5 linked regions of the Macaca fascicularis genome follow. The protein of the gene in region 2 purifies or fractionates together with the protein of the main gene of each other region. This does not show direct contact. Links are inferred from orthologs where the notes say so. Each region holds a gene or a part of one and is shown on either strand. Other genes may lie near its edges.

Region 1 (4,796 bases), on a different chromosome or scaffold from region 2:
GGAAATTACTGCTACAATCAACACTGCCAATTTAACTTGTACACAGAATAAGAAGTCAGCTTGGTACAGGTACAATCTTAGAAGTCAGCTTGGTAGAAGTACATAATCCTTCAAAATAGAGAACTTTGGACGGGCTCTGTGGCTCACACCTGCAACCCCAGCACTTTGAGAGGCCAAGGCGGGCAGATTATTTGAGGTCAGGAGTTTGAGACAAGCCTGGCCAACATGGTGAAACCCTATCTCTACTAAAATACAAAAATTAGCCAGGCATGGTGGAGCACACTTGCAGTCCCAGCGACTCAGGAGGCTGAGGTAGGAGAATCACTTGAACCTGGGAGGCAGACGTTGCAGCAAGCCGAGATCACGCCACTGCACTCCAGCCTGAGTGACAGAGACTCCATCTCAAAAAATAAATAAATAATAAAATAAGAACATCAAAGTTAGAATGTGGTCTAGCAGCTGCAAGCCAAGTCAACTTTATCATAGTTAGCAACACTGCTCATTTACTAACGAACAAAACTGAATTTCCCAGAAAATTATGTACCATACCTGGCTTTTTCTGAAATTAGAAGGGTAACAATCAAGAATTTTTGTAGCTCTAAACTGTTAACTGCTTTACTTAATAAATTTTGGGTGCTTTTAACAATGAAAGGAAAGATCACAGAAAAAGCAGTTTCTAGATAAAGCTTGTGCACTGGCTAATGGTAGTAGGTCGTTCTGATGACCCTGAGCATCACTACTAGCTTTCCAGTATGAAAAGTTGTATTTAAATTCTTTAAATAAGTGAAAAATTAACATTGTATACCATCTCACCCCTAAGTATACTTGCCTATCTCCTGACTTAGTCATCCCTTAACATTCGACAACTCAAGCTGTTTATTGCTCCAGTTTATTACACATTCCAGTTTTCCCAAAAACTGAGCTAAAGGCAACCACAAAATAGTTATGTTCATCATATAAGCCAGAGCTGAATACTGATCTCTAGTTTAAAAAGTCTACGGAAAATGTCAATTCAGCTTTTTCTCTGACATACACTTAGATGTTATTAATCAGGCCATTATAAACAAAACCAAGAGTTATACTGGATAGGTTAAATGACTATGTAAGTTGTGTAACCCTAACACTGTTGCCTTACAAGGAAAACAAATCGATGTCCTACTTACTTAAAGTATTATCTTTAGAGGGACTGGTAGGCATTATCTTTAGAAGAACTGATTTTTGCCCTCTGCTCTCAAGGAACTTCAAAGTCTATGTGGGACACATCATCAGTTTGAAAAAAATGAGGGGAGGGGGCAGCAATAAAATATGTCCATTTATTTTGAAAGGAGCTGTAGGGAAAACAAATATCTTAAAACTGAGAGCTACATAAATTAACAGTGTTTTAAGTAGTGACGTGTGTAGGAGAACATGGTTAATGTTTCTAATCTAACAGGAAGATTAGAAAAATGAAACAAGTTCCACTGCTGATATTATTCAGTATTTGTATCATTTTATTTTTGCTAACATTTACAAACCTAGAAATGCCCTTCAAACCATCAAAAGGGTGTACACTTGAAAAATGCTTTCCATACTAGGAGAAACAGTATTTCCCAAGTTGTTGAGAAAAGCTGCTACATTTTCAAAGAATTCGGAACACGGACCTTTTGTAGGTTTTAAAGAATGCAAACCAGTTGAAAATAGAAGCCTCGTGAGCTTTTATCTTAGAAAAATGCAAAATTACATACATTGGGATCTCATCTTACAGTGTCCTTCATATTGCCAAAATGTACTTATTAATAGAAAGTCTTGGCTTATAACTAAGTCTGACATGTGCAGATAGATTTGAAAGTTGAAACCTGGGGTTAACATACCTAAATTTGTAAAATTTTATAAACCATAAATTGCACCACCACTGCTATGTATTATTTATCTCGTCTCCCTCAGTAAATGGGCTGAAAGTTTGTAGAATGACATGCTACCTAGCTGCAACAGCACAACAGCACAGTCAACTATTGCTCAGTCCATTTTTAACTAAGGTTTACAACAGGAATCTTCAACGTCACCACCAGAATACACAAAGAAAAATATATTTAAAAATTGACACTGAAAATACAGAGGAACATATTTCACTTTTTTCAACATACAGTTACCAAAGTTTACACAGTTAAGCTGGAAAACCTTGTATTTAACGAAAAATAATTTTTCGAACAAGATTAGAATTTGTTCTACTAAAACTACCTCTGTTTCCCCTCTAGCCAAACAAACAAAAAAAAAAAACAAAAAACTGGGGATTACAAAAAATACAGTCATTTTTAATACTAACATAATGGAAAAGGACAAAAATGACAAGGTTAACGAGCAGACAAGATCAGCACTATGGCTAGTCTTTCTCTTCGGTTCCACAATTCCTAACCCACATTTTTGCCAAATCCCACTCTACACAGTACTTACACCTTCACCCACCTACCCACCCACCCACCCCATTTATGACGGCGATCACCTTCCGGGCAGGTATGTGAAGTCAGCCCCACTTCCAGTAGACAATCGACTAGAATGTCTCAGAAGTGACTGAGTCAGAGAATAAGAAAATGATAAAGTGAGAAATTAAAACAGATACAAGTTGTAAGGTGTGCGGAGGGAGGTGTCTCAAAGGGGGCTAAGGGTACGGGTGAGGAGCTAGGAGGAGACTTGGGGCGACAGGGAAGGGTTTCGAAGCAGTCCTAGGCAGGAGTGCGCAGGAGAGGCGAGTGAAGCAGCTCCAGTCAGAAGATCCAAAAGAAAACAAAACAAAAGCCACAGCGTTTCCTCTGGGAATAACCTGAGGAAAGGGACTCTCGGGACGCCCCGGCGGGAGGCAGTCCCGGGAAGCACAGGAGGCCGGGAACTCACCACCTGGTAGCGCCCCGTCCCCGGCTGGTGGTGATCCATCCTGCCCGGCTCGGGATCCGGCTTCCGAGCGGGGGAGTTCTCTCCGTGCTCAGCTCCCTCGGCCACCCCCGTCGACGACGTCGTCGCCGCAGGGCCCCTTCCGCCTCCGTTCCTGCCGCCGCGGTCTCCCGGCGGAAGCTCTTCACTTCCTGTGCCTCCCGCAGCGGCCGCCGAGACCTCCGCGTTGGTCGCGGTTCCGCGGAGGAGCACCGGGGCGCCGCGCGCACTATTGAGCATGCTCGGGCCGCTCGCGCAGACTCGCTGGCTCCGCCGGCGTCCCATCCGCGCCGCCAGTGGGAGGGTGTAGCTAGGTGGGAGGAGATGGAAAAGTAAGGCAAGTCCGGGGGAGCTGTCTAGGTTGTCAACCTGTCGAGTGGGCGGTCGCAGAAGGCGCGCGGGGGGCGGGAATGACCCGTCCTTGATTGGTCTTTTCTATGTGCGCGAGTCTCGCGCAGGCACGAGCCAGTGCGCCTTCTCACCACACAGAGACAGAGGCTGACAAAGGTATGGGGCCGCGTTCCTGGAACACCTGAGGACAGGTCTCCCGGGTACCCGACACTTCCTCGTATTACTCACCCAGCGTAGGACGTGGGGAGGAGATTCATCTCTAGAACATTGCTAAAACGCTTATTCAAAAATCATTCGTAAGATAAGGGATTTTTAAAAGACTAATATAGAGTAGTTGTAGTTTACAGCAAAATTGAGAAGTTACAGAGATATCCCGTATACACTTTGCTCCTACGCATGCATAACCCCACCCCCAACCCCGCCATTATCAACATCCCCCACTAGAGTGGTACATGTGTTACAATTGATGAACCCGAATTGACACATCATCATCACTGAAAGTCTATAGTTACCTTGGGGTTCGCTCAGGTTGTTGTATACTCCTCGAGTTACGACAAATGTGTAATGGCAGGTATTCATCATTGTAGTATCCTACAGAGTTATCCACTGCCCTGAAATTCTTCTGTGGGATGATTAGAGACGGGGTCTCACTATATTGCCCAGACGAGTGCAGTGGCTGTTCTCAGGCACAATCATGGCTCACTGCAGCCTCGAACTCCTCAGCCCAAGCTATCCACCTGCCTCAGCCTCTGGAGTAGCTGAGACTACAGGCACCAGCTCTTTGGTTACTTTTTAAATTTTTTTCCACTTTTTGGTAATAAGAGATTTAAAAATCCAACAGACTCTCCAGACAGCTCTCAAAGGAAGAGGTCTCTAGAGTTCTAGGTTACTGGAAGGACGTTAGAAGAAAGTAATGAAATCAGATAGGATTATTTTGTGGTAATAATAATTCCAATGGATTTAACAGCAAGGAATCACTTGGGAGCATTGTTAATAGCATCTCAGTGTCTGTAACCACACATGACACGGCATAAAACATATTTCTCTAGCAAGTAGAAGAGTATGACAGAGCAGTGAAAAGTGCCTTTTAACCTGAAGACCAACGTTCTATACCCTCAAAACTATGGTGCTGCTTGATGTGGCCCAGCTATGTTTTTAAGATAACACCACATTTTCCCAAAATGATCTTACAGTGGAGCCCCCTGAAGGGAAGGAAAGGGATCTGGAGCCCCATTTACTTTATTTCCTTCATGAATGTCCAGAGGACATCCTTGAAATGAAGACTGCCACTGGGTGAGCCTAATCAACTGGTTAAAATAGCAAGATACAAAAAAACCCAAAAACTCTTTGCGAGATTGACAACTGAAAAGGTAAGCCTTCCTCGTGGTTCTTTTTAAAGCATTCATCAACTCTTCCTATTTGTGCCATTTTGACATGTCTAATAGTAGAAAGCGTTACTGTGCTAACAATAAGAGGCAATGATATCTCATACTTAAATATTGTTAAACTTGCCTTGTTTTGATCTTAATGTATTTTAGTTT
Region 2 (4,223 bases):
CATGGGTGGAGGATGAGACCCATCGCTCAGAGGCAGCTCCTGGCCAGGCCGCGTGGCCGTTACCACGCAGGACCACCAGATCAGAAGAGCCCACTTCGCACACCCAGACCCAGCCTGCTGGAGGCCCTAGAGTGCGGCCCTAAAAACCTCACAGTGACCTGCAGACACCGGAGTCTTTGAAGTCATCCTCACCACCGCCACCTCCTGCTCCTGCCCACAACGCCAACTGAACCTCAGACGTATGAAAGCGTGGAGATAAAAAGACTAAACCAAGAGGCCTGAGGAACAGGCATGGAGAACGGGCACACGTGAGACGGTGGGTCTAGGCACGCAGGCCACAGAGATCCTCTCGGCCTGGAGAAAGATGCAGACGTCTAAGCTTGACGCGACTTCAAAGAAATTCCACCCTGGAGGCTTGAAGTCTCCCACGTGGGGAAAAAGTGCAGCCGGGAGTCAGTAACTAAGGACCTCGGCTCTGGTCCCCCAGCTCGCGCCATCACATGACGGCCCATCAGCAGCCACCTTCGAGGCAGATGGAGATGGCATCCACAGTGACCGATGGGCCACAAGGTGGGGGCCCATCTTGCTCTGCAACCAACTAGATCTCCGCACCGCCCCTGGAGCGGAGGCCCCGGCGCCTGAGACTCACATGATGTACTCTTCCTTGTTCTCCTCCGTGACCCGGATGCTCTCGCCACCCTCCTTCAGTTCGTGGGTGGTCACCTTGCCCAGGATCTCCATGTCCTGGATGAAGTACAGCTCCAGGCCACATTCTTCCAGGTTGTTCTCTCTGGGGGCACAGCAGACCAAGTCGGGAGATGTCTATCGTGGCAGGGTCTTTCCTGGATCCTGCTCTGCTGCCCATGGGACACCAAGGGTTCACGGGTGGCCTAGAATCCTGAACAGTGACATGGGACAGCTTCCTGACTCAAGGAGGGGATTCTAGAACTGTCCACGGGGGACCCAGAGGACATTCCTCTCCACTAGCTCTTTTAAAGGCTGGACAAGAGCTCAGGGGCCACACTGGCAGACAAAATAAAAGCCGTCGGTACCTGCTCCCTGCCCAGAGACGTCCCTCCTATCAGTGCGGTGGGGTGAGGGGGGAGGGAGCTCACTTGATCCAGACAATGGAGTTGTAGAACTCAGGGTCGACGGACTCCAGGTCTTTCAGGGTTGGTCTCTTGTTGAGCATCCGCTTATAGAAAGGGAGGGTGAAGCCCGTGTCGATGAACTTTCCGTGGTACAGCGCCTGGGAAGGAAGAGGCACAGCACAGAGCTTGGGCCTTCCCCAGGCACTGCCAAGACTGGCTCTCGGATACTCGGTATCAAACTCCGCTACCACCACCCGCCTTCCCTGACAGAACCGCAGCAGCGGCTGCCTCGGACGCAGCGGGAGGGCCTCGGGAGCAAACAACGCCTTTGTCCTGACTTGCACCTACAGAGGGACTCCCACCCTGCCCTGCAGACCGCAGGGACTGGGCAGAGACAGCTGGCGCGGGAACCCACGTCCGGGCCCGCATCTGCCCCTCACACTGGCCGGCTGGCTCCCAGCCTAGCAAAGGTCTGTCCCACGCTCACAGAAAAGGCTTGCTCAGAGCAGCTCCAGGTGGCAGCCCTGACTCACTGGCGCTCAGGGTGGGTGGCAAAGGCAGCCAAAAATAATGCAGACACCGCTGACAGCGAGAGCTGGCGGCCAATGGTGAGTAATAGTCTAGGGTTTTACCGGTCTGTCCTGTTGGCTGCTGGGCCAGGCGGGTCTCTAGACCTGGGAAGAATGTGCCCACTTCCAGAGCCCAGCACCTTGGCCAAGAGCTCCCCGACGATGGGAAGGGCCATATTTAGTCACAGGCTCCTGGGACACTTGGGTCCTCCTAAGAGGGGAGCTCAGGAAGGCAGGGGAAGAAGCGAAGGAAAGTGAGAACTGAAACTTCTCAAGCTATGAATGTGGCTCCCGTGCTGGTCCCCGCTTCTCAATCGGGTTCTCCACACTCCCAAGACCCTCAACAGGGGGCACGTGGCAGGACCTCCCTTTCCCTATTCACACCGTGTCCTTCTTTCCAGTTAAATACAGATGCTGGGAAAGCCCCTCCCCAGAACTGGCCCACTTTCTGACATACGTCCCTACACCCTGCACCAGCCAGTTTACGGTTCACCAGGAGGCAGCGTGGCGTGAACAGCAGCCCCCGTGGACTGGCGCGCCCTCTCTGGGCCCCACCCTTCGCCCCCGTAGAGCTCGTAACCTAAAAATGCAAAAAGCTGGAGAGAGTTCTGGAGAAGCCAGAGCTTTCTCAGCGGCTGTCCTGTAGGTAGTGAAGAGTTTCCACGCTGCTTGTATAGGACTTGTCGAGAGGAAGCCCAGGGTCTCTGGGCCACAGACTTTAGGGTTTTGTTCTAAGCTAGTGTTGACTCCAAATGTCCTTCCAGAAGGCTTAGTGTCTCAGTGGGACGTTCCCAAATGCCGTGACAGTGTCACCTCCCAGAGACAGGCAGCAGGTGGGCAGCTATGTTTTCACCTGGCCCTGTCATCCCAAGGCCCTCAACAGAGCGCATATTTAATGTTCAGTAAAGTCTGTGGCCCAGAGACCCTGGGCTTCCTCTCGACAAGTCCTATACAAGCAGCGTGGAAACTCTTCACTACCTGCGGGACAGCCACTGAGAAAGCTCTGGTTTCTCCAGAACTCTCTCCAGCTTTTTACATTTTTAGGTTACGAGCTCTATGGGGGCGAAGGGTGGGGCCCAGAGAGGGCGCGCCAGTCCACGGGGGCTGCTGTTCACGCCACGCTGCCTCCTGGTGAACAGGCCCAGGGCCTCCTCCAATGCTGCCCCTTCCTGGAGGTCTCAGAGAAAGAGCAGATTCCCCTGGTGCCCCTGGCACACTTCACCAGGAGAGGGAAGAGGAGGGAGAGGAGGGAACCAGGCAGACCCCTGGGGCCCCCTTACCATGGCGATGAATCTGCCTATAAAGCGGAAGTAGGTGAGGTGGTCTGGGTTGATGGAGGAGGCAGGGTTGATCTGCAGGCAGTAATTGTTCTTTCCCGCGTATTCAAATAAACAATACATAGGGTTGAGCACCTCGTGAGACAGGAGGAAAAACCACTCTCTGTGAGGGAAGAGAAAGAAAAGACAAGAATAATGGGTTCCTTGGTGCACATCTGCACAGGAGCTGTGACTCTCCACCGTTGTGTTTCAGGTAGTCTGGGGACACGTGTCCCAGGGAGTCAAGCCCCGTGACAAGCACCCGCGCTAACCTATATGAACAGCTGGTCAGTGAACAGGGTGGGCTCTGTTCTACACAGAATGGCAACTGCATTTGAGGATGATGTTTGGGGAAACGTGTCCCCGTCGGCTCCCAGATGATGTGTTCCGAGACTTTACATCACAATATCCAGAGCTTCTAATGGTAAAGGGGGTCCTTGTCACCATGCTCAGTTGCATAGGCTGTGCACTACACAAGGGCACGATGCGTGTTTATGACAATAATTTTTCTGCAAAGGTTCTGTTTGAATAGCAACTACCCTGTTTCCGCTCTACCTGGTGGGCAACATAATGTAAATACAGAGCACCACATTCCCAACCCCAATCCATGAAAACGTAATCCATGCTGCCTTCAGATTAGAAACCTCACACCCACCAGCTACGCCACACCCTTGCGCTTTGCCCTCCCTTCACCCCAGACCCCAACACCATCCCCATTCCCACACTTCCAAGCATTCATCTGAATCAACACCCGTGCCCTGGGTGCGAGCCTCAGGCATGAATTCAGAGTCCTTTTGGGCTTGAGCTAAACCAGCAAGGGGACGTCCCAAGGAGGCCAGTCCCCGGCTGCTGGGCTGTTTGTGGCTGGGCAGACGAGGAGTCCTTCGACGCAGAGGGTGCCCCGGTATCCTGTCCGTGGTTCTACCCTGTGGTAGAACAGCATGACGTAACCTACCATAGGGTAAAACCACTGGCAGGACACAGAGAGAGACACACACAGGGCGCGGCCACACCAGGGAAGCCCACCAAGCAGAGCCTGGAGAGGAGGTCACCACGGAAAAAAGGAACAGTCCATCCACAGGGCCAGCGCAGAAGGCCACGCCACCACCAAACAGAGGACCAGAAGCAAGTTAACCCAACACCAAGCGAGAAGACATGCCCACACCGGGAGAGGTCTCGAGCAGAGAGGTCGCCGCAGGCCAAGGCGCTCCCTCTCTCTGCCGGGGCCCTTCTGCCCTGCCGTCCGA
Region 3 (4,959 bases), on a different chromosome or scaffold from region 2:
CTAACAAAGCTCACAGCACTGTTCTGAGGCTTAAAATGAATTTTTTAAAAACACAGCATTTGGTGACTAAGTAATGAAGCTCAAATGCAAGAATTTGACGAAATCCTTGCTCAAAAATGACAAGAATATGAAACCCAGGAGGGCTATAATATGCAATCAAAGGGTTGATGTTTGCTTCCCTGGAGCAAATTTAAACCTCTAATAAGGAAGGAAGGCACTGGAAAATAAAAAGTCCTCATAGTTCTTGACACTTAGCCCATACGTCCAGGGCAAGTAAGAATTATTCTAAAAATTCTGATTTTTCTCTGAATTCCTTATGGTGCTTCCCTATTAAAAGTCTAACTGTTCTTTCTAGTACAGCTACCAGCGTGACACAGTATGCACAAACCTGAATAACTCAAGTGTTAATAATAATTACATGTTGAAGCCAATGATGGAAACTGGGCAAATGCCTGGGATTCGCGGGAAAGGGCTTCTCTTCAACCATGTCTCTCATGCAGGTCCCCACACCTTCAGGAAACCTTCTGTGAAGGGGCTGTTCTTGAGATAAGAAAAGATGCTGGTCGAGGGGCTTGGATAAACACCCAAAGGTGTAGGAAGTCACTGTGTTCTTCCTACTCTGATGTACTGGCCTGAGGTCACCAAAAGCTGGATGTCTGCCACCTCGGCCAGGACTCAGCCACTAGGAACAATACTACAGCACCACTTCAGTCCAGTGAAGAGGCACCCTTGAAAGGCAAACCACGTACAGAACGCTACTGCATTGTAAGAAACTTTTCTAGCCAGGATTTGCTGAATCCTGGGCCATTAGGCTACAAAAATCTGCAAGAAGATAGTGTTTTCTATTTTCATAAAGTTTCAGAGAGAAGAACGACAGTCCTTACAACTGTGCGTGCTAAAGCAATAGTAATGACTTCAAAGTAGAGAAAAGTATAACAAACTTCGTGACATACAGATGAACTAATTTTGCACCACATGGCCACCCATTCAGACTGGGCAAAAAGGGCATCATGCCATTCAGCTCCCGCTCATTAAGGCTGTCATTTCTATGGCACAAGCTTTAACCCCATCACCAAACAATTAGGTAACTTTATAATACAAGGTCCGTAAAGCCTTGTATTACCACACCTATGGCTGTCAAGCAGCCTTTTAAAAAAGGAATCATTGTTTGAATGTGGGGGATAAAAAAGAAGAATAATCAATACCATGTTAACGAAACCGAGCATGGGCCAATTAAAATTTAGATGATCATACAACAGCTGCTTGTGGTAAAACAGCAGCAGGCATGGAAGTGTATCCAAAGAGGGAGGCCTTGGCTCCACTGGAAGCTACTTGTGGTTCCCATCAGTGGCTAACGCACTCCTAGATTAATTTCTTATATTGGGGGTGGAGAGAATGCTATCCCAGCAACACTGCACCAACATGGCCATAAATGCCCCTTGGGCCCCCAGATGGCTAGGGAAACTTTCGGTCCTTCTTGTGTTCACTCTGCACCAGCTGTTTCCTCTGCCTGGAATACACCCTCCAGATGAGCACAATCTCCATTCTCTAAGCGCAGTGCACGCCTCACCAGGACCAAGCTCGCCTCAGACTCTCACAGAACCCATCTTCCACGCATTATCATTCTTCATCTGCCTTCAGGTTTCCTCCACTAGGCTGCAGACTCCTGCCCTGTGATCTCGTTTAGCATCTTTCTATCCCCTGTTCCTAGCAGAGTGGAAGCTGGGTTTGTTGGATGAATGAGTAAACTAATCCATTTCAAGAAGTTAACACATTGGTGGAAACTCTGTAACTGCCCGCGCCTGCAATCTAGAGATTTCTCACCTTCACAAAGAACCTGCGACAGCCAGTCCCCAGACTTAAGCGGAAACCCTACAATCTCTGAAATTGTAGGTGGGGATGAGGGGGCTGGAGGACAGGAACTGAAGGAAGTGAGAGGAAAAGGGAGGTAGGGGCAGCGTTACCTCACTGCTCTCTCCAAACGAAAAGGTGTAAAACCCATTTACAAGTATTCAAACCCGAGATCTGGGGGTCACGTGGGGAAGGAGAGGCTGTTAATACCTAGAACTTGAAAAGTTTGAGGTGGAGACCTGATCTGAAATTGTGTGACCACAGCTTTTTTCTACGAGCCAGCCCGACCACCCAAGTAGGAGCCTCGACGCCCAGGAGTTCGGTGGCACCACTGAGGCCTAGTGAGAGGGCAGGAAAACTCCGCTCGCCTCAAGATCCCTTCCCGGTGGTGGTGGGGGGTAACTCGGGGCGTCGGGCAGCTGCGTCCCCCTACCGCTGCAGCGACCGCGACGTCGTTCGTCTTTCATCCTCTAGCCCCCAAGGTTTAGGTATCTCCAGGTGCCCCTCCGAGGCCCTCTCTCATTCCCAAAACGCAGAAGGGAAGGGAGAGAGAAGACGAGGGTGTGGGTTTAACCACAAACTCCCCAGACGGCGCTCACCTTCCAGCTCGCTCCGGGACAAGCTTTGCGCCTCACCACGGGCAGCTCCCACCGCGATATAACACCCCTGCGGCCCGGCCACCCAGCGCCCCCGCTGCCCTGCCAGGCGTCCCGGGCCGCCAATCGCAAGTTGGCGTTGCCAGCGTCTGCCCAAGTCATCTGCAGGGCGCCCGGAGCGCCGAGGCGGCCTCCAACCTCGGGCCCGACTCCCCGGCTTGGACGGGGCTTACCTGCTTACATGGCCCCCGTGGCGCCCCGGAGTCCCGCGCGGAAAGGCTGTCCTTCGCGGCGGCGAAGCCCCGATTCCCCACGGAATTGATTCCAGTGGCTGGCGGAGGAGGGGCGAAGGGAAGGAGCCGCAGGAGGCGAAAGGGGAGGGAGGTTTCCGCCGCGATCCTGGCGCGAGAGTCGGAGCAGAGGCGCACCGGGGAAGAAAAGGAGAAAAACCTAAGCACTGGCTGTCCCGTTCCAGGAGGCCGGGGAGGATGGCTCAGCTGGGAGGGGAAGGAGCGCCAGTGGCCACTTGTGTCTGTCTAGGGCTCCCCAAGGACCTGAGCCAGCAGAGCAGGCGGCCGAGCCCGGAGGAGCACAGCAACCTGCCCCCGAGTCTGCGTCCCCTGCGCTCACTCCACGGAGAAAAAGTTGGGAAGAACTTTGAGGGGCCGGGAGAGCCAGAGCGGCAGGAAATGCGAGCGGCCGGCAGAGGAGGGAGGAAGGGGCCGTGCGAGTGGGAGGGGACGGAGCAAGCGCCGGCGGCCACGGCTCCCCCACCCCAGAGCCGGGCTCGGCAGCGCTGGGGGCCTGGAGGCGGAGGGAGCGCGGGGCGCGCGGCCGGGGGCGGGGAGGAATGCGGCCCGGGAGGGCGCGCGCCGGGGGCGCCGCGGGCGCGCGCTGAAACGTGGAGCCCCAGCTCCAGAGCTCCCAAGCTGGAGGCGCGCCGTCCTTGGGGACGTCACAGCGCTGGAATCCGAGGAATGCCGGGCTGCAGGAGCTCCTTCTGCAGGCCCGGAGAAGTCGCGCACTTTTAATGGTGTAGTTTTGGAAAATGTTTTAAAAGGTGGGGGCCGAGGACGGAGGACCGGATGAAACTCCCTGGAGTAAGAGACGTTGAAGTGGAGAGAGCGAGGCGACCGCAACCACCCCAACCCTGTGCCGCTCCCGCCGTTGGGAAGAAAGAGGCAAGGAAAGGAAGATCCCACCTAGACTTCCGAGGACCGCAGAGACGGGGTGGCGGCAGGATCTTGCCCACCCCGACCTAGATCAAGGACAGTCCACCTTATATTGGGGAACCCTCCAAGCAGGACGCCTCATGCAGCCACCTCACAGGGGAAAACAGACCAGGAGAAAGTAAGGTGGCCTCACCGAGTAGGCAATCTCAAAGATCTCTCCCTAGAACCTCTGGGTACTGGACCCGGTGTCTTAGCCTTCTCTCCCTGCCCCCTCCTGCCCCCTAGGAATGATAAAAAGCAGCCTCTGTGCTGAGAGTTGGAAAATGTCGTTTTCCCGGTTTGTTCCATGCCACAGAATCGCCCCACCCTGCTTGGGTAGGCACTGGGAGGGAACTTCCTTAGCACTTTCGGAGGTGGAGTTAATGAGACGCAGCTGGTATGATGGAAAAAGCTTGGAGCCAGGAGACTGAACCTGAGTTTTAGGCCCTGCCCGATTGGATAACTGAGGAGTATCCCAGCCCCTGAGATCCTAGGTTTCTGTAGCTGTAAAAATAAAGAATTTGTCTAGATTTCTGTGGTCCTTTGCATTGCTAACATGTCTTGGGATATGTTATCTTGCTAAGATTCCAGTCCTTTGTTGAAAAAGAGCCTTGAAGTCGTTGTCACAGAATGTGCTGTCCCAAATCACTTCAGTGTCTGGCAACTCATGCAAAAATTCCTGGCCTCTTGGGGAAGAGAACTGGAAACCAAAAAGCACGGTGGCTCACACCTGTAATCCCAGCACTTTGGGAAGCCGAGGCGGGCGGATTGGCTGAGCTCAGAAGTTCGACACCAGCTTGAGCAACACGGTGAAACCCCGTCTCTACTAAAATTCAAAAAGTTAGCCGGGCGTGGCGGCGTGCGCCTGTAGTCCCAGCTACTTGGGAGGCTGAGGCAGGAGAATTGCTTGAACCCGGGAGGCGGAGGTTGCAGTGAGCCGAGATCGCGCCACTGCACTCCATCCTGGGCTACAGGGCCAGACTACGTCTCAAAAAAATAAAATGAAATAAAATAAATAAATCCGTAGTGACTCTGATTTTCTTCGAGCATCTGCCAATCTCTAGAACTATAAAGAATTAGAGAAAACGCCGAGTGCAATGCAAAAGTGATGGAAAGAAAAGGTTGAAGGGAAATCAACTTTCTCACATTTTAAAGGAAATAGCTGTACAGACGCGCTAGGTTTCCAAAGAAAACATTAGGCAGTGCCTGACTGTGTTCCAGAAAGTGTGGAAAGCACTCCCCCATTCCTAGATGAGGAAAGTGAGGCATGAAGAAATTACCTGTCTCACTGAGGGTCATAC
Region 4 (4,859 bases), on a different chromosome or scaffold from region 2:
CTGCTTTTCCTTTAATATAGCAATGTCCCTCATTGCCTGCAACTTCCGCTTCAAACTGGATTGGATATTTTCCTTTTGCAAGAGCGCTGTTTTAAGCACTGAAATTTGTTCTGCATATCTGGAGGCTGATTCTTGTCTTCTTCGTTCGATCTCTCCACTTTGTTGTAAATAGCTGTTCCATACCTTCTCAGGTTGCTTTGTGTACTCTTCAGTTTTGTTAGTCAGGTATTCCAGAAAGAACCTGTTTTCAGCCTGGACAAGTAACTTTTCTTGGTATAGCTCCCTGTATTCCTCCAGTAGCTGTTCCCGCTGGATTTGAGCTTGTTTTATATGCTTGTTCAGAACCGTCATTTCCGCCACTATCTTTTCTTTAAGGATTGTCTCCACCTTTGTTAGCTTCTCTGGCTTGACAAAATTATTTATTAGCCTATGATACGGTGGAAGGAGCCTTCTGGGGCCCTCAGCAAACCTGAAAGAACAAATGAGACATTCCTCTCTCAGTTGATGAAACTTTAGGAAGTGCAGAACTGTCCTTTATTTATACCAGAGAATATTTCTGAGTACCCAGAATGTTCCAGACATTATGCAAGGTGAGGGGAATCCAGCTAGTGGTAAAAGATGACGGATTTAGCTCATCATTTACAACGTGCGTTCACCACAACCCTGGGAGGTACTATCTCAGTTTTAAAAAGAGAAAACAGGTTCAGAGAGTTTAAGTGAATTGCCCATGACTCACACCACTAGCAAGTGGCAGAGCCTGGGTATGAAAGCCAGATCTTATGACTTACTGAACACTGTTAGCAGCTACAAAGGGCCACAGAAACAGACTGGGTGGTTGCGAGTAGAAATACTTTTCTAAGCTCTTTCATCATCTTTCCTGAGTTTCTGAGAGCCCTTCAGTGAGAAGGAAGCTCCCCTCCAGTACCTATTCGCACCTGGAATCCAAGCATTCATCCTGAAGGTCACGGCAACTGCGTAGTTCACCGAGGGTGATTACCAAGGAATGAGCGCTAGCATCAGGAACCTGCGCCTGCAACTCGCGGGAACAACGTGCAAGTGCGGAAAACTCCCGTAGTTTATCCGTTCGGTGCTCAAAGGGTCTCGGTGCTGCCCAGCAACCCTGGAGGCTGCACCCTGCTCCAGTCCTGGCTGGTCCAGCCCTGAACTGTTTAACCGCCTCGGCTACCGAATAAACCCGAGCAGCCGGTCCTCCAGTGGCTCCGCTCCCCGCTCTCTGCGGGCTCGAAATGAGAGGCATGCGCCTTGTTTTCTTGCTGTGTGAGTCCTGCCCTCGGGACCCCATCTCTTCTCGCCTTCCCCCTGGGGACAAAAGCCCTCCCAGGCTGCAGAGATCAGAGCCCTTTCCTAGCTCCCTTCAGCCTTCCTCTCGCTTGCTCAGCGCCCCCACTTCCTCGCCACTGTCACTAGTTGGCTCACCAGCCCTGCCCGATACTAAGAAGATGCCCTGGCAACTACCGCGCCCCTTCACGCTCCTTTCTGACGCTTTGGTTCTGTTTTCGTTCGCTGCCCAGAACATCGCGGAAGTTTCTCTAGCCATGCGGTGTCTCTATGGTCAGGTGGGCGGGGCCAGGAGGAAGATGGCGGCGCCCGCAGCTGCAGCTGAGCCCCAGGCTTCTGGGGGTCCGCGGCACCCAGTGTGTCTGTTGGTGTTGGGAATGGCGGGATCCGGGAAAACCACCTTTGTACAGGTGACGTACACAGCGTGGGTGTAGTAGGGGAGCGCAAAAGGTTGCCTCCGACAGGCGGAAGGCCAGGGAGAAAGGGAGGGAGGTCTCCGAGGATTTGGAGGGTATCGGCGCATGGGTTTCGGTCGTTTCCCATCAACTTTAGTTCCTTCCCCGGCAAAGCCTCCTCGGGCCCTAGCCAGGTTAATTAAGGCTGTCTTCTGTGCACCTTCAGTGCATACTCGGTCAGCTTACCACGTTGTACAGGAATTGTCTTGCTGATAAAATTGCCAGTTTCTTGAAGGCAGGGGCTTACAAGTAACTTTAGAGATTAATACAGTGCTAGCACACAGGTTTTGGTGAAGATTTGCCGAAGAATTATTTCTTGCACGCCTGTTATGTACCATTCACTGGGGATATAGCGAAAATTAGGTTGACAAGATTCATTCATGGGGCTAAATATTTAATGGAGGAGATAGAGAAAACCCACATACGAAGAATCAAAACAAGTAAACAAGTGACTATGAGTAGGGGAAGTTTTGTTAGATGGGTGATGAAGAAAGGTAGCATTTGAACTGAGAGTTGTATCTTGGTGTTGGATATAGTGGGTGGATATTTCAGGTAAAAGAAAATCTAAGTGCAAAACTCTTAAGGCATGGGTGGTAAAGGAAGTTCTCTCTTGTCCCCTCTTTGTCTCCTTCCAACCTTCTCCCCATATCTCTGCAGAGGCTCACAGGACACCTGCATGCCCAAGGCACTCCACCTTATGTGATCAACCTGGATCCAGCAGTACATGAAGTTCCCTTTCCTGCCAATATTGGTGAGTAAACCGGTAACATAACTTGTGTGAAGTGCTTTAAAGAGAATGGAAAAGGCCGGGCGCAGTGGCTCACCCCTGTAATCCCAGCACTTTGGGAGGTCGAGGCAGGTAGATGAAGAGGTCAGGAGTTCAAGACCAGCCTGGGCAAGATGGTGAAACCCCATCTCTACTAAAAATACAAAAAATTAGCCAGGCGCGGTGGCAGATGCCTGTAATTCCCGCTACTCGGGAGGCTGAGGCAGGAGAATTGCTTGAATCCGGGTGGCAGAGGTTGTAGTGAGCTAAGATAGCACCACTGCACTCCAGCCTAGGCAATAGAGTCAGACTCTCCAGCCTGCCAGTCTTCAGTGCCTTCTTTTTTGATGTTTTCTAAACTATCTACTTTCATTTCCTTTGGATTTGCTTGAGTTCCTAAACAGCTTAGGCTTTTTTTGTTGTTGTTGTTGTTGTTTTTATAGAGTCTCTGTCACCCAGGCCAGAGTGCAGTGGCGTGATTCAGCTCACTGCAGCCTCAACATCCCAGGCTCAAGTGATCCTCCCACCTCAGCCTCCTGCCACCATGCTGGGCTAGTTTTGTTTTGTTTGGAGAGACAAGGCCTCTCTATGTTGCCCAGGCTGGTCTTGAACTCCTGGGCTCAAGTGATCCTCCTGCCTTGGCCTCCCAAAATGCTGGGATTACAGGTGTGAGCCACTGTGCCCAGCCTAATTCCTTTTTAAAAATCATGTCTGCATTGCCTTTGCATTGCGTTTGTTAGTAATAGGCAATTAGTAAGAAGCTTTTTTTTCCCCTTGATTTTTGCCTCCCTTTTTCTAGACGTGTTTAACTTGTGTGAAACTTCTCACTTTGTGGAGACAAAACTCTCTACCATAACTTTAGAGCTCCTAGCCCTAACATTCTTCATGAATTACTTGACATTTATTCTTTGTAAGGAAGGAAACCAGTGTGAAAGTGGAGGTGGTAGAAGAGAATGCTGACAAGAGAAGGCTAGAAGGCCAGTTTCACTTTCCTGCTGGTAGGGAATGTGCATGTATTACATTCCAGTTAATTCTTTTCTTTCTCCTCAGATATTCGTGACACTGTAAAGTATAAAGAAGTCATGAAACAGTATCCTTTTCCATCTACTTTGGTCTTGACTCATTCCTGGCTTCGTTTCTGTGTATTTTGTGGCTTGAAAGAGTGTTTTTGCCTTTTCCCTGTGAAATATACAAGCAAAAGGATGGAAGCTGATTGTGGCAGAGGTAGGTGATCAGAAATATTATTTCAGCTTGAGGTTTTAGTTTTTTTACTGTCTCCCCAGATGGCAGGCTGTTGTAATTAAAGAGCAGAGAGTAGGATAGGATAACTGACAGCTACCTGGGTCCCACAAGGTAGTATTTTGCCTTGGAGGATCATCTGTTGGTCACCACCTCTTTAGACTGGGAAACTCAGAAATGAGTGGGTTTAGTTGGATTAACTCTTAGTAAATTGCTTTGTGAAATGTGTACTCTGCTTAATTTGTTTATGAGGATCAGAGCCGGAGGTGTTATACAGGTGGCCTTCATGGCCAGTGCTAGGGAGCTGTCACTGCCTGATGCACCTGTATTACATTTTGGTCACTTTGCTTTCTTCATTTTGCCTGGCCATTCCTAAAGTCATAAATGAGTGAGCCAGACCTTGATACTGAATGTTTCCCTGTGTGGTTAAGGTTGTGTGGTAGTCACGGATTAGGTTGCCAATATTCATTAATGGAACACTAATTTCATAATGCTGTTTTGTGTGAATGATAGCCTGGGTGTGAACTTTATAATCTAATCTATAAGCGATTTCAGTCCTCAACTTGGTGTCTAGATATGGACTTGGACCCAATGGCGGCATAGTGACCTCACTCAATCTCTTTGCTACCAGATTTGATCAGGTATGTCTGTCTTTAATATATCAATATGGCTGTGTAAAAATCTGTGACTCTTAAATTCCTTAGCTTGATCACATTGATAAAGAAAAGCGGCAAACCTGCACATAAATACAGAAAATAAGTAGACATTTTGTCAGACAGAGAAGTAGACTATGAGAAGGTGATCAGTATTGTCAGACACTTCACATTTAATATTTGTGACAGCTAACAAAAATCTAAAAGACCTGGGTTATTTTCTTGACATGTTCTTTGCTTGTGGTATTACCCTGAAGCTGGGATGGGGATATTTGGGAGTGGGATGGACTAGCAGTCATGGAATGGAAAAATGATGGGGCATTTTACTTGTGATAAATATTTGTCATTCTTTAGCTTTTCTTTGTCACCTATTTCTTTTTCTTTTTTTTTTTTTTTTTTTTTTTTTTTTTTTTGTTGAGACAGAGTCTCGCTCTGCCGCCCAGGCTG
Region 5 (4,852 bases), on a different chromosome or scaffold from region 2:
TCTAAAGGATTTCTTTTTTTTTAGTTTTAAAATTTTACTTTTTAATTTTTTAAAGCTTTTTTTTTTTTTTTTTTTTTTTTTTGAGACAGAGTCTCACTCTGTCGCCCAGGCTGGAATGCAGTGGCGCAATCTCGGTTCACTAAAACCTCCGCCTCAGCCTCCCGAGTAGCTGGGATTACAGGCGCCCGCCACCACGCCCCAGATTTTTTTTTTTTTTTTTGGTAGAGAGAGATTTCACCATGTTGGCCAGGCTGGTTTCAAACTCCTGACCTAAGGTGATCCGCCCGCCTCAGCTTCCCAAAGTACTGGGATTACAGGCGTGAGCCACCGCGCCTGGACTTTGCCTGTTTTTTTTTGGCCGGTCTCTCTCTCTTGCCCAGGCTGGAGTGCAGTGAGGCGATCATAGTTCACTGCATCCCTCAAGCGATACACCCGCCTAGGTCTCTCCAGTAGCTGGGACTACAGGCGCGCACCACAACGCCAGGCTAATTTTTGTATTTTTTAGAGAGGAGGTCTCACTATGTTGTCCAGGCTGGTCTTGAACTCTGGAGCTCAAGCGATCCTCCAGCCTCGGCCTCCCAAAGTGCTGGGATTTCAGGCGTGAACCACTGTGCCCGGCCCAATTCATTTGTTGTTAAATCAACAGAGTTTACAATATGACCTTCTAAACATTGTTGACTAATGAGCTAAGATATCGTTGACTAATAAGCTACGATTATTTCCTTTATTGTACAACCTTTCGTTTTCTCCAGTGTAGAAAACAGCATCATTTTTCATTTGCATTTCTTTTTTCTTTTTTAATATATATATATATATATATATATATATATTTTTTTTTTTTTTTTTTGAGACGGAGTCTCGCTCTGTCGCCCAGGTTGGAGTGCAGTGGCGCGATCTCAGCTCCCTGCAACCTCCGCCTCCCGGGTTCAAGCGAATCTTCTGCCTCATCCTTCCGAGTAGCTGGGATCACAAGCGCCCACCACCATGCCCGGCTAATTTTTGTATTTTTAGTAGAGATAGGGTTTCACCATTTTGGTCAGACTGGTTTCGAACTCCTGACCTCAGGTGATCCCGTCGCCTTGGCCTCCCAAAGTGCTGGGATTACAGGCGTGAGTCACTGTGCCCGGCCGTCATTTGCTTAATTTTCTATGCATCACCCAAATGTTCCAACAGACGTGTGGTAAAAGCCTCTGAATATCATTGTCCGCGTGCTCAGAAGTATTAGATAATCCATCACAAATGAATAAAATTTTAGAAGTGTAAGTCAGTGAAAGAAATTCGACCCGGCACGTTCGGAGTCGGCTGCCCTGCTCTCCATCAGCAGGCGTTCCTGCAGCTCATCTGACCCTCTCCGCCCAGAAAGGCCTAGGGACCTACCCCAGGACGTCTGCGCGGCGAGGCGCGAGGGAGGAGAGGGAGTGCAGGGCGGCCCTGGGCGGCGGGGAGCCTCCGGGACAACACCAGCAGGTCCCCTCGCTGCGCCCCGCCAGCCTCACACTCCCGGCCCCGCCCACCCCTCGGGGCCCCTCCCAAGACCACGCCCCTTCCGTGGCCGTTGCTCCGCGCTTCCGCTTCCGGCGGCGCTGGTGGTGGCGCGCGACTCAGCGATGGCAGCAGGTGGCGGCGATCCGCGGGCTGGCGACGTAGAGGAGGACGCCTCACAGCTCATCTTTCCTAAAGGTTGGGCTCGGGGCCGCCAGACTGCCCCGCGGCACTTCGCGTGGTCGCCGCAGGCCTGGCGTTATCCGCGCTTCGCCCAAGGCCTGGCCTCGGCGGCGGCTTGGGCAGACCCCCGCGCGGCGTAGGGCTGGGGAGGGAACGTGGACCTGGGAGTGGCCGCCTGGGCAACTGGGTTATTTTATGTGATAACAAACTGCGAAGTTCCGGGCGCTGGTGTCAAAGGTAAACAAAGCCGGAAACCCAGGTGGTGAGGACAGATTTTTAAACAGGGATAGAACGTTGCACTAGGGAGAAGAGTCCAGCGTGAACCGAACTCAACTTCGATTAGTACCGAACCTCTGGGCGTTTTAAAGGAGAGTTAGGGAATAAGGATGTGGTGAGCGGGGGCTCAGGGGAGTCGGGGAAGTGAGAAATGTAAAAAAGAGGGAAGAGGAGGGTCCGTGTGAACCCACCTTGGTTTGTTGACTGCAGCATCTATCGAAGTTAGGCCCCTACCCTCCCACCGAGGCGGAGAGACAGAGGCCTGTTTTCAGCCGTTGGCTGGAACAAACAAATTATTTTGTTTTTTTTTTTTTTTTGAGACGGAGTCTCGCTCTGTCTCCCAGGCTGGAGTGCAGTGGCGCGATCTCGGCTCACTGCAAGCTCCGCCTCCCGGGTTCACGCCATTCTCCTGCCTCAGCCTCCCGAGTAGCTGGGACTACAGGCGCCCACAACCGCGCCCGGCTAATTTTTTGTATTTTTAGTAGAGACGGGGTTTCACCGTGGTCTCGATCTCCTGACCTTGTGATCCGCCCGCCTCGGCCTCCCAAAGTGCTGGGATTACAGGCGTGAGCCACCACGCCCGGCCCAAACAAATTATTTTGGCAGCCTCGAGTTTTCTCAGGCACGCAGTGGTTGGGGAGGGTATTCCTAGGGATAAGGACCTCAAGACCTCAAGTGATCCATCCACCTTGGCCTCACAGAGCTGGCATTACAGGCGTGAGCCACCTCGCCCTGCATTTTTTTTTTTTTTTTTTTGAGGCAAGATCTCATTCTGCTACCCAGGTTGGAGTGCAGTGGTGTGATCACAGCTCACTGCAGCCTCAACCTTCCCAGGCTCAGGTAATCCTCCCACCTCACTTCAGCCCCTGGAGTACCTGGAACTACAAGTGCACACCACCACACCTGGCTAGTTTTTGTATTTTTTTTGTGGAGACAAGATTTCACCATGTGGCCCAGGCTGGTCTTGAATTCCTGGGCTCAAGTGGTCTACCTGCCTTAGCTGCCTAAAGTGTTAGAAAGTACAGGTGTGAGCCACTGCACCGGGCCTATTAATGGTCGTGATGACGGAACCTTACTAAAATTTCCAGATGACATACTGGCCAAGGAATTGTTTTCCTTTTTTAGCAACAGGGATTAATTATGGCCATTGTTCTTAAAATATTTGCACAAGAGAGAATAACATGCAGATCCCCTGATCTGTTTCCTTTTGTTTCCAAATAAATTGTGTGTGTGTGTGTGTGTGTGTGTGTGTGTGTGTATGCTTTCACTTGAAAATGTTTATTGGAATTAGCCATGGGGAGAAGTCTTGGATTCCTCCTCTCCGTAGTTATACAAAAGTGTCTGAACTGCCTCCCCCATCCCCATTTTGTTGATGCCGAATCCTGGGAATGCCTCCCAAAAGCTCTGTGGTAGGTCTCAGACACCCCTTTCCTAGGCCCTCTGAGTTACAGTTTGGCTGCCTTGACCTTCCTTGGTTGAAGGGAGTGAGGGTAATGTATTAGTAGTACTTGAATATTGTTCTTAATGAGAAATAGGGACAGCTGACTAGTTTCCTGGTGGCCTAAAAGTTCCATTCCTTTCCATTTAACAAGTAATTTTGGTTTAGTGCAGAAAGGGAGGCATCTGTTTTGTTTTGTTTTGTTTTTTTGAGACAGAGTGTTTCACCCTTGTTGCCTAGGCTGGAGTGCAGTGGCACAATCTCGGCTCACCGCAACCTCCACCTCCTGGGTTCAAGCGATTCTCCTGCCTCAGCCTGAGTAGCTGGGATTACAGGCATGTGCCACCATGCCCGACTAATTTTTGTATTAGTAGAGATGGGGTTTCACCATGTTAGGCTGGTCTCGAACTCCTGACTTTAGGTGATTCACCTGACTTGGCCTCCCAAAGTGCTGGGATTACAGGCATGAGCCACGGCGCCCAGCCTGGGATGCATCTCTTAACATTGATTTTTCCAGGACCTGTAAAAGCATCAAAGTTCCAACACACCGATTTGTAACTGATTAGCTACTTCTTCCCTTTTTTGTTTTGGCCTGATGTCATTTGTTACTGTCGCTTCAGAGTTTGGAGGTCCTGCAGTCCTGATATATAATGCCTTTTCCTCTACTCATTGCTGTGAGGCAGTAGTTTCTTCTGTACCTACAGTGCCTCAGTGTTAAAGATTAAAAGTAGTAAAGTTCCTGGTATACAAATAGGCACTCACTGTAGTACATCCCCTGTTATAGGCTGGAAGACAGAAAAAGGTGTTCTGAGGTTTTTGTTTAAACTCTCCTGCCCTCAGGTAGAAAATAGCTTTTGGTTACCTATTTTTTTATTTAGATTTTAATTTTATTTCAATAGTGCTCCAGCTGTATTGGTAGCCTATTATATTCAGTAGCAATGAGTACCTTTCAAATAAAAATAGACTTTCCTCCTGACCTACCACTTAAACTGTCTGTGTCGTGAAAGGAGAATGAGGCTCTTGTCAGTTACCCGGCTTGAGAATTGGGAAGGCGTTACTCTGAGGGAGGTGTTAGTGATTTCCCCGATAATAAACAGACCTATAGCACGTGTAAATGTGAAATTGCAAGTCATTCTGGCTTTTCCTCACTGTTGCTTCCTTTTCAGTGAGGGATTATAAACATGAATTCATGTTTATGAATGGTTCCTGCTCTAGGGGAATTCACTGTTAAGAGAAGGGCAGATAAAAACGATCTCTAATACTTTGAGATAAACATCAGGAACATAAGATCCTGCAGGAACATAAGGGAGAGAGTGATTTTCCCAAGGGGTAACAGCATTTTTTAACAGAACTATTCTAGAAGTGTAGAAGGTAGCCATATATTATGAAAAGGGGCCATGGGTTTCTTTTTCTCTCAAACCTAATTCTTAAAAATTGCTTATAACATTTGTGTGGGTACAAAAATAGATTTGG

Evidence for each region. The genes of interacting proteins can lie anywhere in the genome.
Region 1: the proteins of WWP2 (region 2) and NDFIP2 purify together in Homo sapiens (affinity purification with western blotting; 3 studies listed by BioGRID and IntAct, with this or other methods). This does not show direct contact. The link is inferred for Macaca fascicularis from reciprocal best matches to the Homo sapiens genes WWP2 and NDFIP2.
Region 3: the proteins of WWP2 (region 2) and PTPN14 purify together in Homo sapiens (affinity purification with mass spectrometry; 3 studies listed by BioGRID). This does not show direct contact. The link is inferred for Macaca fascicularis from reciprocal best matches to the Homo sapiens genes WWP2 and PTPN14.
Region 4: the proteins of WWP2 (region 2) and GPN1 purify together in Homo sapiens (affinity purification with mass spectrometry; 3 studies listed by BioGRID and IntAct, with this or other methods). This does not show direct contact. The link is inferred for Macaca fascicularis from reciprocal best matches to the Homo sapiens genes WWP2 and GPN1.
Region 5: the proteins of WWP2 (region 2) and POLR2D purify together in Homo sapiens (affinity purification with mass spectrometry; 3 studies listed by BioGRID and IntAct, with this or other methods). This does not show direct contact. The link is inferred for Macaca fascicularis from reciprocal best matches to the Homo sapiens genes WWP2 and POLR2D.

What each region holds. Positions count from the first base shown.
Region 1 is NC_088391.1:70,542,421-70,547,216, reverse strand, and holds the start of NDFIP2 (NEDD4 family-interacting protein 2), read right to left. Parts: upstream 3,271-4,796; 5' UTR 3,190-3,270; coding exon 2,869-3,189; intron 1-2,868. UniProt on the Homo sapiens protein: Activates HECT domain-containing E3 ubiquitin-protein ligases, including ITCH, NEDD4, NEDD4L, SMURF2, WWP1 and WWP2, and consequently modulates the stability of their targets. As a result, may control many cellular processes.
Region 2 is NC_088394.1:66,046,975-66,051,197, reverse strand, and holds part of WWP2 (NEDD4-like E3 ubiquitin-protein ligase WWP2), read right to left. Parts: intron 3,101-4,223; coding exon 2,941-3,100; intron 1,250-2,940; coding exon 1,116-1,249; intron 791-1,115; coding exon 650-790; intron 1-649. UniProt on the Homo sapiens protein: E3 ubiquitin-protein ligase which accepts ubiquitin from an E2 ubiquitin-conjugating enzyme in the form of a thioester and then directly transfers the ubiquitin to targeted substrates.
Region 3 is NC_088375.1:72,331,158-72,336,116, forward strand, and holds the start of PTPN14 (tyrosine-protein phosphatase non-receptor type 14), read right to left. Parts: upstream 3,271-4,959; 5' UTR 2,681-3,270; intron 2,578-2,680; exon of another isoform or gene 2,451-2,577; intron 1-2,450. UniProt on the Homo sapiens protein: Protein tyrosine phosphatase which may play a role in the regulation of lymphangiogenesis, cell-cell adhesion, cell-matrix adhesion, cell migration, cell growth and also regulates TGF-beta gene expression, thereby modulating epithelial-mesenchymal transition.
Region 4 is NC_088387.1:94,602,878-94,607,736, reverse strand, and holds the start of GPN1 (GPN-loop GTPase 1), read left to right. Parts: upstream 1-1,589; 5' UTR 1,590-1,598; coding exon 1,599-1,709; intron 1,710-2,411; coding exon 2,412-2,505; intron 2,506-3,570; coding exon 3,571-3,610; intron 3,611-3,707; exon of another isoform or gene 3,708-3,722; coding exon of another isoform or gene 3,723-3,744; intron 3,745-4,314; coding exon of another isoform or gene 4,315-4,333; coding exon 4,334-4,400; intron 4,401-4,859. Other genes in the region: CCDC121 (coiled-coil domain-containing protein 121), read right to left, coding at 1-469, 936-1,303. UniProt on the Homo sapiens protein: Small GTPase required for proper nuclear import of RNA polymerase II (RNAPII). May act at an RNAP assembly step prior to nuclear import.
Region 5 is NC_088386.1:3,674,772-3,679,623, forward strand, and holds the start of POLR2D (DNA-directed RNA polymerase II subunit RPB4), read left to right. Parts: upstream 1-1,582; 5' UTR 1,583-1,607; coding exon 1,608-1,680; exon of another isoform or gene 1,681-1,902; intron 1,903-4,852. UniProt on the Homo sapiens protein: Core component of RNA polymerase II (Pol II), a DNA-dependent RNA polymerase which synthesizes mRNA precursors and many functional non-coding RNAs using the four ribonucleoside triphosphates as substrates.